Saccharomyces cerevisiae S288C: one gene and its partner. The protein of the gene in region 1 interacts with the protein of each later gene in a pairwise test. Each region holds a gene or a part of one and is shown on either strand. Other genes may lie near its edges.

Evidence for each region. The genes of interacting proteins can lie anywhere in the genome.
Region 2: the proteins of MRP8 (region 1) and MGL2 interact in a two-hybrid assay, tested with the Saccharomyces cerevisiae proteins (2 studies listed by BioGRID).

What each region holds. Positions count from the first base shown.
Region 1 is NC_001143.9:175,133-180,541, reverse strand, and holds MRP8 (Mrp8p), read right to left. Parts: upstream 2,028-5,409; coding exon 1,368-2,027; downstream 1-1,367. Other genes in the region: succinate dehydrogenase cytochrome b subunit SDH3, read right to left, coding at 279-875; ribosome biogenesis protein LTV1, read right to left, coding at 2,370-3,761; DNA-directed RNA polymerase III subunit RPC25, read left to right, coding at 4,061-4,699; proteasome regulatory particle base subunit RPT1, read right to left, coding at 4,926-5,409.
Region 2 is NC_001145.3:685,002-690,572, forward strand, and holds MGL2 (putative carboxylic ester hydrolase), read left to right. Parts: upstream 1-2,514; coding exon 2,515-3,864; downstream 3,865-5,571. Other genes in the region: ERG12 (mevalonate kinase), read left to right, coding at 1-797; YMR209C (uncharacterized protein), read right to left, coding at 910-2,283; DML1 (Dml1p), read left to right, coding at 4,082-5,509. UniProt on the Saccharomyces cerevisiae protein: Converts monoacylglycerides (MAG) to free fatty acids and glycerol. Has a preference for palmitoyl-MAG. Does not play a significant role in ethyl ester biosynthesis. Also possesses ester hydrolase and low but persistent TAG lipase activity.

The DNA of each region.
Region 1 (5,409 bases):
AAAAATCACTGATATTTTGTTGAATATGATTACTCTTGCGCTATCTTTTCCTGTTTTTCCTCTTGTTTGTTCCTTTATTTTCTCTATTGTATTTTACAGAAAGGCAAAAAAATAAAAAATGTGCCCCTAGTAAATATAGGTTTGTGTTAATCGGCATTTTGGGTTATAAAGATCTTAAAGAATAAATAAGTGCGGTATTGGGTCATATATAGGAACGTATATATAAAATTGGCTATATATATATTTGTGTGTAGAAACAGGTGCGTCGCCTTAAAGAATCATAAAGTTAATAAATAAGTACCGAGAACGGCGGTGAAACCAATGAGAGCGTAACCAGTTCTGTAAACGCCTTTCAATGTCAATTCCTTAGCGGTATCCCAGATCAAGTGTCTAATGGCGCCACCATAGTGAATTGCAAATAAGTAAGCAAAGGAACCCTTGATGGACCATTCGGTAATCTTGGAAAACTTCTGATGGTACCAATTAGAAACCTTTTCGGTAGTCAATCCAAGACCTAATAAACCAGAGACTCCGAAGAGTATAGTAAACAAGTAGAAACCTAGTCCCATAAGCACCAACGAAATACGGTGAAGAGAAGACAGGTACCAAGTTAATTGTGGCTGGTAAATGGTCAGATGTGGAGAAATAGGTCTCTTTGCTCTTTGCTTGTTTAATATTTGTTCTTCAGCAATTGCCGCTTTGGTGTTCATTTCACTGGCCACATTCTTCAATGGTGAGGTAGAAAGGAAGTTTGTTCTAGCTGTATTAAAAAGCAGCCTCCTCGAGGAGCTCAAGGCAGCTGCTCTTGAAAAGGCGGAGGGTTTCAGTAATAGAGCCGACTTATTCAGTCCTAACTTGACCATCATTGCAGACATCGTTTATTATTCTTAGAGCTTGTGATTGGCAATTTTTGGTTGGTCCTGAGATTTCTATGCGGGGATCTCGATATCATAATGCCAGTGCACATTTATACAAGTACCAAACGCTTAGAGCGGAAAACGGAGCGGGCTACCGCAGCCAATCAGAATGGACCTGGTCAAAAGTTAGATGATGCTTAAGACTACTGAATGGTATACAAGGTAATATATAGAAGGCTGTTGGTATACAGCTTTCAATCACAGATAAAAAGTATAGGTATACTTATGGGAGGAAAACTTTGAATTCTTTTCTTCTCTTTTTCACCACTAGAACATCCTTTAACTGCAATGCCGCGGAAAACATAGGTTTCATTGAAAGAGAATCCTGTTATGATATACTCAAAACTATATGTATATAGATATATATATATATATAAGTGAGGGAAATTTCTAGAACCTGGAACTCAAGCCCTCTTATTCATTGATTTTTCATTTTTTTTCATTTTCTGTTTACCATATTTCGGTTCCTCTTCTAAGGGAGAGACCTAGATAGCGGGCAACATCATTAAATGCATCATCTAGCTCATCTTTGGAGAACTTTTCCAACTCCTTAGAAATCTCTTCATCAGTGGTCTCATTAATGTGAAAGGCTTCCACCTTACCTTCCAGGAAGTTTTCAAAATCTTCTTGTTCCTTTAGAGTTGGTGGCAATCTTTCGTAGAATTTAGCAAGTCTTACCAGTTTTAAGTCTGGGATGTCTTTAAATTCTTTCAACGACTTAGGGAACACTCCGTCTGAAATAGCAGGAATATCACCATCTGCATTAGGCAGTGGCGCTATAACGTCATCATCATCTTTTTTCAAAGAGTTAACAAGTCTTCTGATAGACCTTTCCTCGATGAAATTTAGCTCACCCTGTAGTTCTTTGACTAATTCCACTAGATCTTCATTTGTGGCAAAATCAGTGGCATCGAATTGAGTAGCGGATCCTGATTTCTTCGAGATAGATTTAGAGAATTTCGAATCAAAATCAGTTACGTCGTGCTTTTGTTTATCTAACTGCAATTCCAGCACACGCTCTCCTGTCTTAGAGATAATCAGACTTTGCTTCTTCACTAAGTCTTGTAATTCAGAGACTTGCTTCTGCAGTAATTCAATTTCGTTAGACATTTTCTTCCTGCTATTTATTTATGTGTATTTACTTCCTTTCTTAAAATGTACTTTATCTGCGGAATACGAGTAGTAAGACAAGATATCTCAAACGGTTACTAATTTGAACGGCTCTTTGAAGCAATGCACGCCGGTTTTCTTTATACTAAAACAATATTTGAATAATGAAAATCGACCTCCTTCCTCCACCCCCTTTCTCCGAAATCCACAAAGAGCACCGCCGCGTTTCATAATTATTACCCGGTGGGCAGGATGTATTTTAGCATCAATGCATTCTAGGCTAAGTATACATGTCTACACAGTACTTGTAATGTAGGTGCTTTCTCATCTCATTCTACTCCTCTAAAATTTTAAGCTGCTTAGTGTATTGGTGACCTTCTCAAGTTTCTTTTTCTCTTGCCTTTCACGATTTCTTCTCTGAGACAGTTTACCTTTGCTTACTTCATCAGCAGCTTCCTTCAGCCTTTCAATTTCTTTATCTTTCTTAGCCAGTTTACGGCCACCACTCTCCAGTTCGTAATTGTCCAAAAAGTCATCAAGCATTGACTCAAAATCAGATCTTTCTGCTGACATGTCAAATGGTTGGTAATTTTGTTCTTCGTCCTCTTCTAGTTCTTCCTCATAATTTTCGTAACCATTGATGATTTGATCGTACTGATCATCCAGTACTGTCATCGTCTCTGTACGCGCAATGGCACTTGAACTCATGGAAAATCCAGATACATCTGACATGGCACCCTTTTTTTGACGGCTCTTTCTTTTCTTCTTCCCCGTCTTGCTTTTGTCTTGGATAGAGGGCAATTCGCCCAGCACATCTTCCTCTTCAGAGGGATTTACACTGTCTAAACCTGCATTAGAAAATTCATCATCCGAGTTATGCTTTTCTAGTATAGAGTTATCTTTTTGAAATCTTCGAACATCAGCTTGATAATCGATATTTTCCAAGTCCTCCAGGTTTTCGATGTTATCAAATTGCGCCATTTCCTTAACGTAGTTTTCATCTTCAAAATTTTCTACATTATCAATATCCCACTCATCAAACTCATCCTCGAATTCGTCTTCATCTTTTGCTTCACCGCTCCCTAGTAATTGTGCGAAAATGTCATCTTCCTTTTCTTCTTCTCCATAGTTATCGCCTTGAAGTTGTGTCTTTTTGCTGATGTCTTCAACCACAACATCATCATTAACAACATATGCTTCATCTTCTAAAGCTTCAAGCACCTCTCTTAATGCAGGATTCATATCAGGTTTGAAACCTCTAATTTCATCGGTGGTATCTTGTTGGTGTAGTAAATATTCTGGCTTTGCCATCCCTCTTTGAAACACAGGTAGCGCGTCATCCTTCTCAATTTCATCACGTCTATACTTAGGTTCGATGAATAAATCTTCAATGTTTTTTTTTTCGACCTTCTGTTCATTGCCTTTGGATGCTATAAAGATGGAGTTTTCAGGGTCGAGACCTATTGGCTTCAAATGTTGAGTATAATCGTATTCAGAATCATCAAAATTAATACCATATAAAGCTGCTTCTCCCACATGAGCCCTCCTACCCTTTGGTTTTGTTGAACTCACGTCTTTTTTTCGAAGATCTGCTTCTGGAGAAGTTTTATTTGGATTGGAGACAGGAACCAAAACGTGCGCAGAGGCATCTGTATCATAAAATGAAGGATCATCATGGGGTCTGTGTACCACCACGTACCTTTGGGAGTTTTTAGAGCTAAATTTCTTCGACATCTTCGTGCTTTTTATATTCCCCTTAAAGTCTTTGAAATACTATACTGGTTGCTCGTAGGATTCGGTAAGAACCCTGATTTAGATGCTCATAATATTCAGGCGATGCTCATCGCTTAAAATTTTTATTTGACAAATTTTCAGTCGCGTTATACGGATTAGTTAATTTCGTATCATAATAACGAATATTCAAGCCATGTGCAGAAATAGACGCAAGAAGCGTTATTCGGAAGAAACTATCGGGTAGTATAAAGACATTCTGTAGTACTATTTAAATTAGAAAATTCATTGAACAAGGTAATATGTTTATCCTTTCAAAAATCGCTGACTTGGTACGAATCCCGCCCGATCAATTCCATCGCGATACAATATCGGCAATCACACATCAGTTAAATAATAAGTTCGCCAACAAGATTATTCCCAATGTCGGTCTATGTATTACGATTTACGACTTATTAACCGTCGAGGAAGGCCAATTGAAGCCAGGCGATGGATCATCCTATATTAACGTTACATTTCGAGCCGTTGTTTTCAAACCGTTTCTAGGTGAGATAGTAACTGGATGGATTTCTAAATGTACAGCAGAAGGCATAAAAGTTTCACTGTTAGGTATATTTGATGACATTTTTATCCCACAAAATATGTTATTCGAAGGGTGCTATTATACCCCTGAAGAAAGTGCATGGATTTGGCCCATGGATGAAGAGACGAAACTATATTTCGATGTAAATGAAAAAATTAGATTCAGAATCGAAAGAGAAGTTTTTGTTGATGTGAAGCCAAAATCACCCAAAGAACGAGAATTGGAGGAAAGAGCTCAATTAGAGAATGAGATTGAGGGTAAGAATGAAGAAACTCCTCAAAACGAAAAACCTCCAGCATATGCCCTATTAGGTAGTTGTCAAACTGATGGCATGGGACTCGTTAGTTGGTGGGAATGATAGATAAGGACGCCACTGACTTCAATAAAACATTTAATAATAATAGTAACAGTAATAATGAGGATAATAATATATAATAAACGTGAATTTTCTTTAGCATTATATACGCTAATTCTTTCTCTATTTGAGGGGATACTCTCGTATCCTTTTTATCTCGATAGTTGTAGTTGTACTTGTTGTTTTTATTAACCCTTCTCATAATATATAATAAAAAAGTACATTGACGTCAATTATATTGCATATAACGCGATGTGGAACTAAACTTCTTGTATCCGCTAATAACTTTATCAACAGCCTTCAGGAAATCCTTTTCAGTAGCCACCTTTCTTCTTGCTCTAATGGCAAACATACCGGCTTCTGTGCAAACAGATCTTAATTCTGCACCGGTAGAGTTTGGACACAGTCTGGAGATAAGTTCCCATCTGATGCCACGTTCCACACTCATTGATTTAGAGTGAATACGGAAGATATTTGCACGACCTTCCAAGTCAGGTAATGAAAACTCTACCTTACGATCAATTCTACCGGGTCTCAATAAAGCTGGATCTAAAGTGTTGGGCCTATTGGTGGCAAACATCACTTTAATGTTACCACGAGGGTCAAACCCGTCTAACTGTGTAATCAGTTCTAACATAGTTCTTTGAACTTCATTATCACCACCAGCACCATCATCAAAACGAGCACCACCAACAGCGTCGATTTCATCGAAG
Region 2 (5,571 bases), on another chromosome or scaffold:
ATAAGCATATAGTGAATCAATGGGCCTTCATAGGTGAAAAGTGTATTCACGGTACCCCTTCAGGAATAGATAACGCTGTGGCCACTTATGGTAATGCCCTGCTATTTGAAAAAGACTCACATAATGGAACAATAAACACAAACAATTTTAAGTTCTTAGATGATTTCCCAGCCATTCCAATGATCCTAACCTATACTAGAATTCCAAGGTCTACAAAAGATCTTGTTGCTCGCGTTCGTGTGTTGGTCACCGAGAAATTTCCTGAAGTTATGAAGCCAATTCTAGATGCCATGGGTGAATGTGCCCTACAAGGCTTAGAGATCATGACTAAGTTAAGTAAATGTAAAGGCACCGATGACGAGGCTGTAGAAACTAATAATGAACTGTATGAACAACTATTGGAATTGATAAGAATAAATCATGGACTGCTTGTCTCAATCGGTGTTTCTCATCCTGGATTAGAACTTATTAAAAATCTGAGCGATGATTTGAGAATTGGCTCCACAAAACTTACCGGTGCTGGTGGCGGCGGTTGCTCTTTGACTTTGTTACGAAGAGACATTACTCAAGAGCAAATTGACAGCTTCAAAAAGAAATTGCAAGATGATTTTAGTTACGAGACATTTGAAACAGACTTGGGTGGGACTGGCTGCTGTTTGTTAAGCGCAAAAAATTTGAATAAAGATCTTAAAATCAAATCCCTAGTATTCCAATTATTTGAAAATAAAACTACCACAAAGCAACAAATTGACGATCTATTATTGCCAGGAAACACGAATTTACCATGGACTTCATAAGCTAATTTGCGATAGGCATTATTTATTAGTTGTTTTTAATCTTAACTGTGTATGAAGTTTTATGTAATAAAGATAGAAAGAGAAACAAAAAAAAATTTTTCGTAGTATCAATTCAGCTTTCGAAGACAGAATGAAATTTAAGCAGACCATAGTATCCTTGATACATTGACTCATAATCAGTTAAATAGCCATTCAATCCCTTTGAGCTATCAACTTCATATTCCTCCACAAGGTCCTTCCACCCGCGAATTTTACGCAGCCGACTTAATTCATCTCCTGTAAATTGGACCAAGGGTTTGGTGCCATACTTTAATGGACCTACATTGACCCAATGCAGCTCTTTACAGTATTTCTTTAGTGCTTCAATACTGGATAGATATTCAAACATATTTTCCGCGGTATCTATGAAATATGCGCTACAAATGATAATTTTATCATAGTCTTTGGAAATGGGAGAATATCGTGTGAAGTCCCCCCATAGTGGGTCCAGATTACTGCGGTGGCCAACTTTGCTCAAATCTGCCGATAAACTTCTCAACTGATTATCAAACACTGTCTGGCATGAATATTGTTGTACAAAAGGACGTATCTTAACGTCATGCTTATATTCGAGTGCAAATAGGTTACATATGTACATCAAGGCTGATAATTCGATGGAGTCCACCTGTATTTTGGGGAAAGTGGTGGCAAGAGTATGGGATAGGCCACCCACACCAGCCCCTGGGGTCACGATAAGAATTTTCTCTTTCATGTCCCCGGCACTAATCACATGATGGTTGATTCTACTAATGATAAAATTTTGTAAAGGATCTCTTTCCACACTATAGTAAGAGCTGAAATCACGACACAAATGTGCTAATGCTTCATGGACCACACTTTGGCTGCCTCGAGACGAAACTATTGGAAATACGAAGTCAGGATTCAATTGAATAAGGTGACCATCTTTAATCTTATAGCCGTGTTCCGCGCATATCTTTTCAATTTCCTCTGTAAATTCTTCATCGTGTTCGTTGGAATGAATCAATTTCCCTAAAGTGAACTCAATTATCTTGTCAATAACTCTTGCGTTTTCTCGGATACCCTCATTATTTTTCATTAATTTGGTGAAGTAGCCTAATTTTTGCAACTGATCTTCTGAAATTCCATTTAATTGTCTTGCTCTCCGAAATAAAAGGCCATTATAGCCTTCTCCTCTTGCTCGATACTCATGTAAACGGATTAAATTCCCCGTAAGATCAGGAAGAGTGGGAATCTGATAATTAATTTTAGAAAGATTCGATTGATCGGCAGATATTGATTTCTCAACATCAACCAATTTTAAGGAGGGCGATAAAACGCTGACTTTTTGGGCCAGATTTGATTTTCTTGATAATAGCTTTTCAACATATGATACAAACCACCTCTGCAACGGCTTATTTTGCCTTAGCAGTGTCATCAGGACTACCACAAGGGCTAGAATTATATTTGATGCCAGTGAGCTAACCATTGGCGCTCCTCAACTTCGTATATCAATATTTTTACCTCTTCTATTTCCTGAAAAATTTGTTAATTGTACAGCATCGTTTACGTTTTTTTTTTTTTACGGGTCTTCTTACCTAACCCCGAAAAGTATTGTGGATCTTAAAAGGGTCTCAATTATTTGAAGTTCGATAAAAACCAACTACTTTGTTATTTTAAAACTGTATTATACAAACGCTGGTAAACTTCCAGAGACGATATGCGTCTAAAAGAATTGTTACCTAATTTTTTGATTGTTCATCAAGAGGTCCCTGAGGATCCTATTGCATTCAAGTCCACCGATAAACGAGAGAATGAAAATAAAGAGATCACCATCCCTGAGCTAATAGATACTAAAGTTCCTGAATTAGCTGACGGTGCTACTGACACTTTATATGGTTTACTGGTCAATGGCCATTTACAAACTGCATATGGTTCCTTTAGACACTTTGACAATATATACAAAGTTCAATATAAAAGAATGATAATCAAATACCCACATGGGGGAGAAGGGACTGTGGATTTTGCTGTAAATGGTAGAAGTACCAAAAGAAGAAAAGTGGAAAAAGAATACGTGCCGACAAGTCAACCGGTATTTAACGGAAACTTGAAACGAAGATATTCGTACTATTCCCCTGATGATCCTAAATTGAACTCAGACGATGCTAAGCCTATGCTTATTATTCTCCATGGATTAACAGGGGGTTCGAGGGAAAGCTACGTGAGGGCAATTGTTCATGAAATCACCACGAAGTATGACTTTGAAGCATGCGTGTTTAATGCTAGAGGATGTTGTTATTCTGCAATTACAACGCCGCTATTATACAACGGTGGTTGGACCAATGATATAAGATATTGTGTTAATGACTTGAGGAAAAGATTTCCGAATAGAAAGTTTTATATGATGGGATTTTCGTTAGGCGCATCTATAATGACAAATTACTTGGGAGAAGAGTCAGATCGTACTAAAATCGAATGTGCTATTTCCGTGAGTAATCCATTTGACCTGTACAACTCTGCATATTTTATTAACAGTACACCAATGGGGTCACGATTTTATTCACCTGCTTTGGGTCACAACTTACTACGCATGGTTCGAAACCATCTCTCTACTCTGGAAGAAAACCCTGATTTCAAAGATGTTATCGAGAAGCATTTAAAAAAGATTCGCACTGTGAGGCAATTTGATAACTTGTTGACAGGCCCAATGTTTGGATATAAAAATGCAGAGGAGTATTACAAGAATGCTTCATCATATAAAAGAATACCCGGGATCAGAACTCCTTTTATAGCTTTGCATGCTCAGGATGACCCAATTGTCGGAGGTGATCTTCCTATAGACCAAATAAAATCCAATCCATACACTTTGCTTCTAGAAACTTCGACGGGGGGGCATGTTGGATGGTTCAAAGACAGATCCGGCAGAAGGTGGTACGCAGAACCCTTATGCAGATTTTTGAAAATATTTCACGACGAAATTACTGTAAAGGGCTTAAAACCTGACTTGGAAAATGTTCAACTCCCAGATCCTAATTGCGAACCCATAGCCACAACCTTTCGCGCGAATTAGTTTGTAAATAAGTCAACTTTTTAGATGTGTAACCTGATAATTTTTTTTTTTGATGTTCGACATCATTATTTCTGAATGAAAACGTGAAAAGCTTCGCCAAACTTAAAATGGAAAATTTCGAATGGAACAAAATATAATCGATGCGATGAATTAAAACCTTGGAAGAAGAGGGTTAATTGTTAAAATTACATATATAATTGGCAGACAAGAATAAAAAATGCATGAAGTAGTAACGATATCGGTTTCGCAGAGAGCAAACCATTTGACTACTCAATTCTTCAATATACAAGAGGGCTATTTACAATTGTCTAAAGAACAACAAGTCAATGACTCCAAAATTTTTCTGAATTCGGTTGTAGATAAAGTTTCAAAAACAATTTCATATGCACCACGTGCCTTACTTTGGGATGCCCGTACAGGTAATGGTTCACTAGGAACATATCAATATTCAGAAAGCCAAGACTATCATTTCGGCAATGAAGACAAATTCAAGGAGCAAACAGTTATAAAGACTCATCCAAGAATACCTAAATCCGAATATCAGAGTTCTCTAGATGCAGGAGCACCGCTGCCTTGTTTGAACAGAGAAAATACGATGTATTGGTCTGACTATTCTAAACTTATCTATGGTCCTTCAAGTTTCAATATTTTGAGAAATTGGTACCATGACACTGAAAATCCAAACCAACCTGACTTTCAAAACTTGGGGGAGCGAAAGTTTGACAGGTATTCCATTGGTTATGACGAATTTACCGAAAATTACTTGCAAGAGTTTTTTGATGGAAATTTGCATAGAGAATTGGAAAAATGTGACACCCTGCAAGGCTTCAATCTTGTAAGTGATATGGAGAGTGGATGGGGCGGGTTTTCTAGTGCTCTACTGGTGGAATTAAGGAATGAATTACCTAAAAAGGCGGTCTTTTCATGGGGACACAATGAAGATGATCCATTCACAGATGACTTCCCTATGAAAAGACTTTCAAAGAAATGGCTCCCGATCATTTCGAACAAATTAAGAAGCACAATAAATATGATGCAAGAATCCGATCTTTACTTCCCATTGTATGCTGCTCCTGGACTAACTAATTGGGAAACTGCTGGAAAGAGCTGTAGGATATTTGATTCTATAAATGCGACAATTTCCCAAAGCAATCTTGAACAAAGAAAGACAATGGATTATCTAACAACTGCCATTACCTTAGGATATTCGTCGCGAAATATGGTCACTGGCATGGTTATCGGTGACACCGATTACTCATTCTGTTCTCGAGTACTTCCTTTCAAGAATAGCCACAAACCAAATTCTACTCACATATTTTCAAAAAGTTTCATTGATAGAGGAAATCAAACGCATAAACATCATTCCGAACCTGATTCACGGAGTAAGATGATTGAAATGTATACACACAGGTATTTTCCATCTGATACGATACCGACAGAATTTTCCAATGATCGTGAATTTGTTTTGGAATTAGAATCATCTGAAAAAAATCGAGATATATTCAAACATTGGAATGAGTTTGTGGTAAGGTACTTCAAAAATGATAGTGACAGAGAAGAATTGAAAAATGAACTTTCCGATTACGCCTCAGCGTACGAATCTGGGTGGTATGAAGACGAAGATTCTGGTGATGACGATATGTGATAAGCAGTTTGCAGCTACGTATTTCCTTTCTCCAGTTGAGGCAAACAGGACTTCTTCCATCT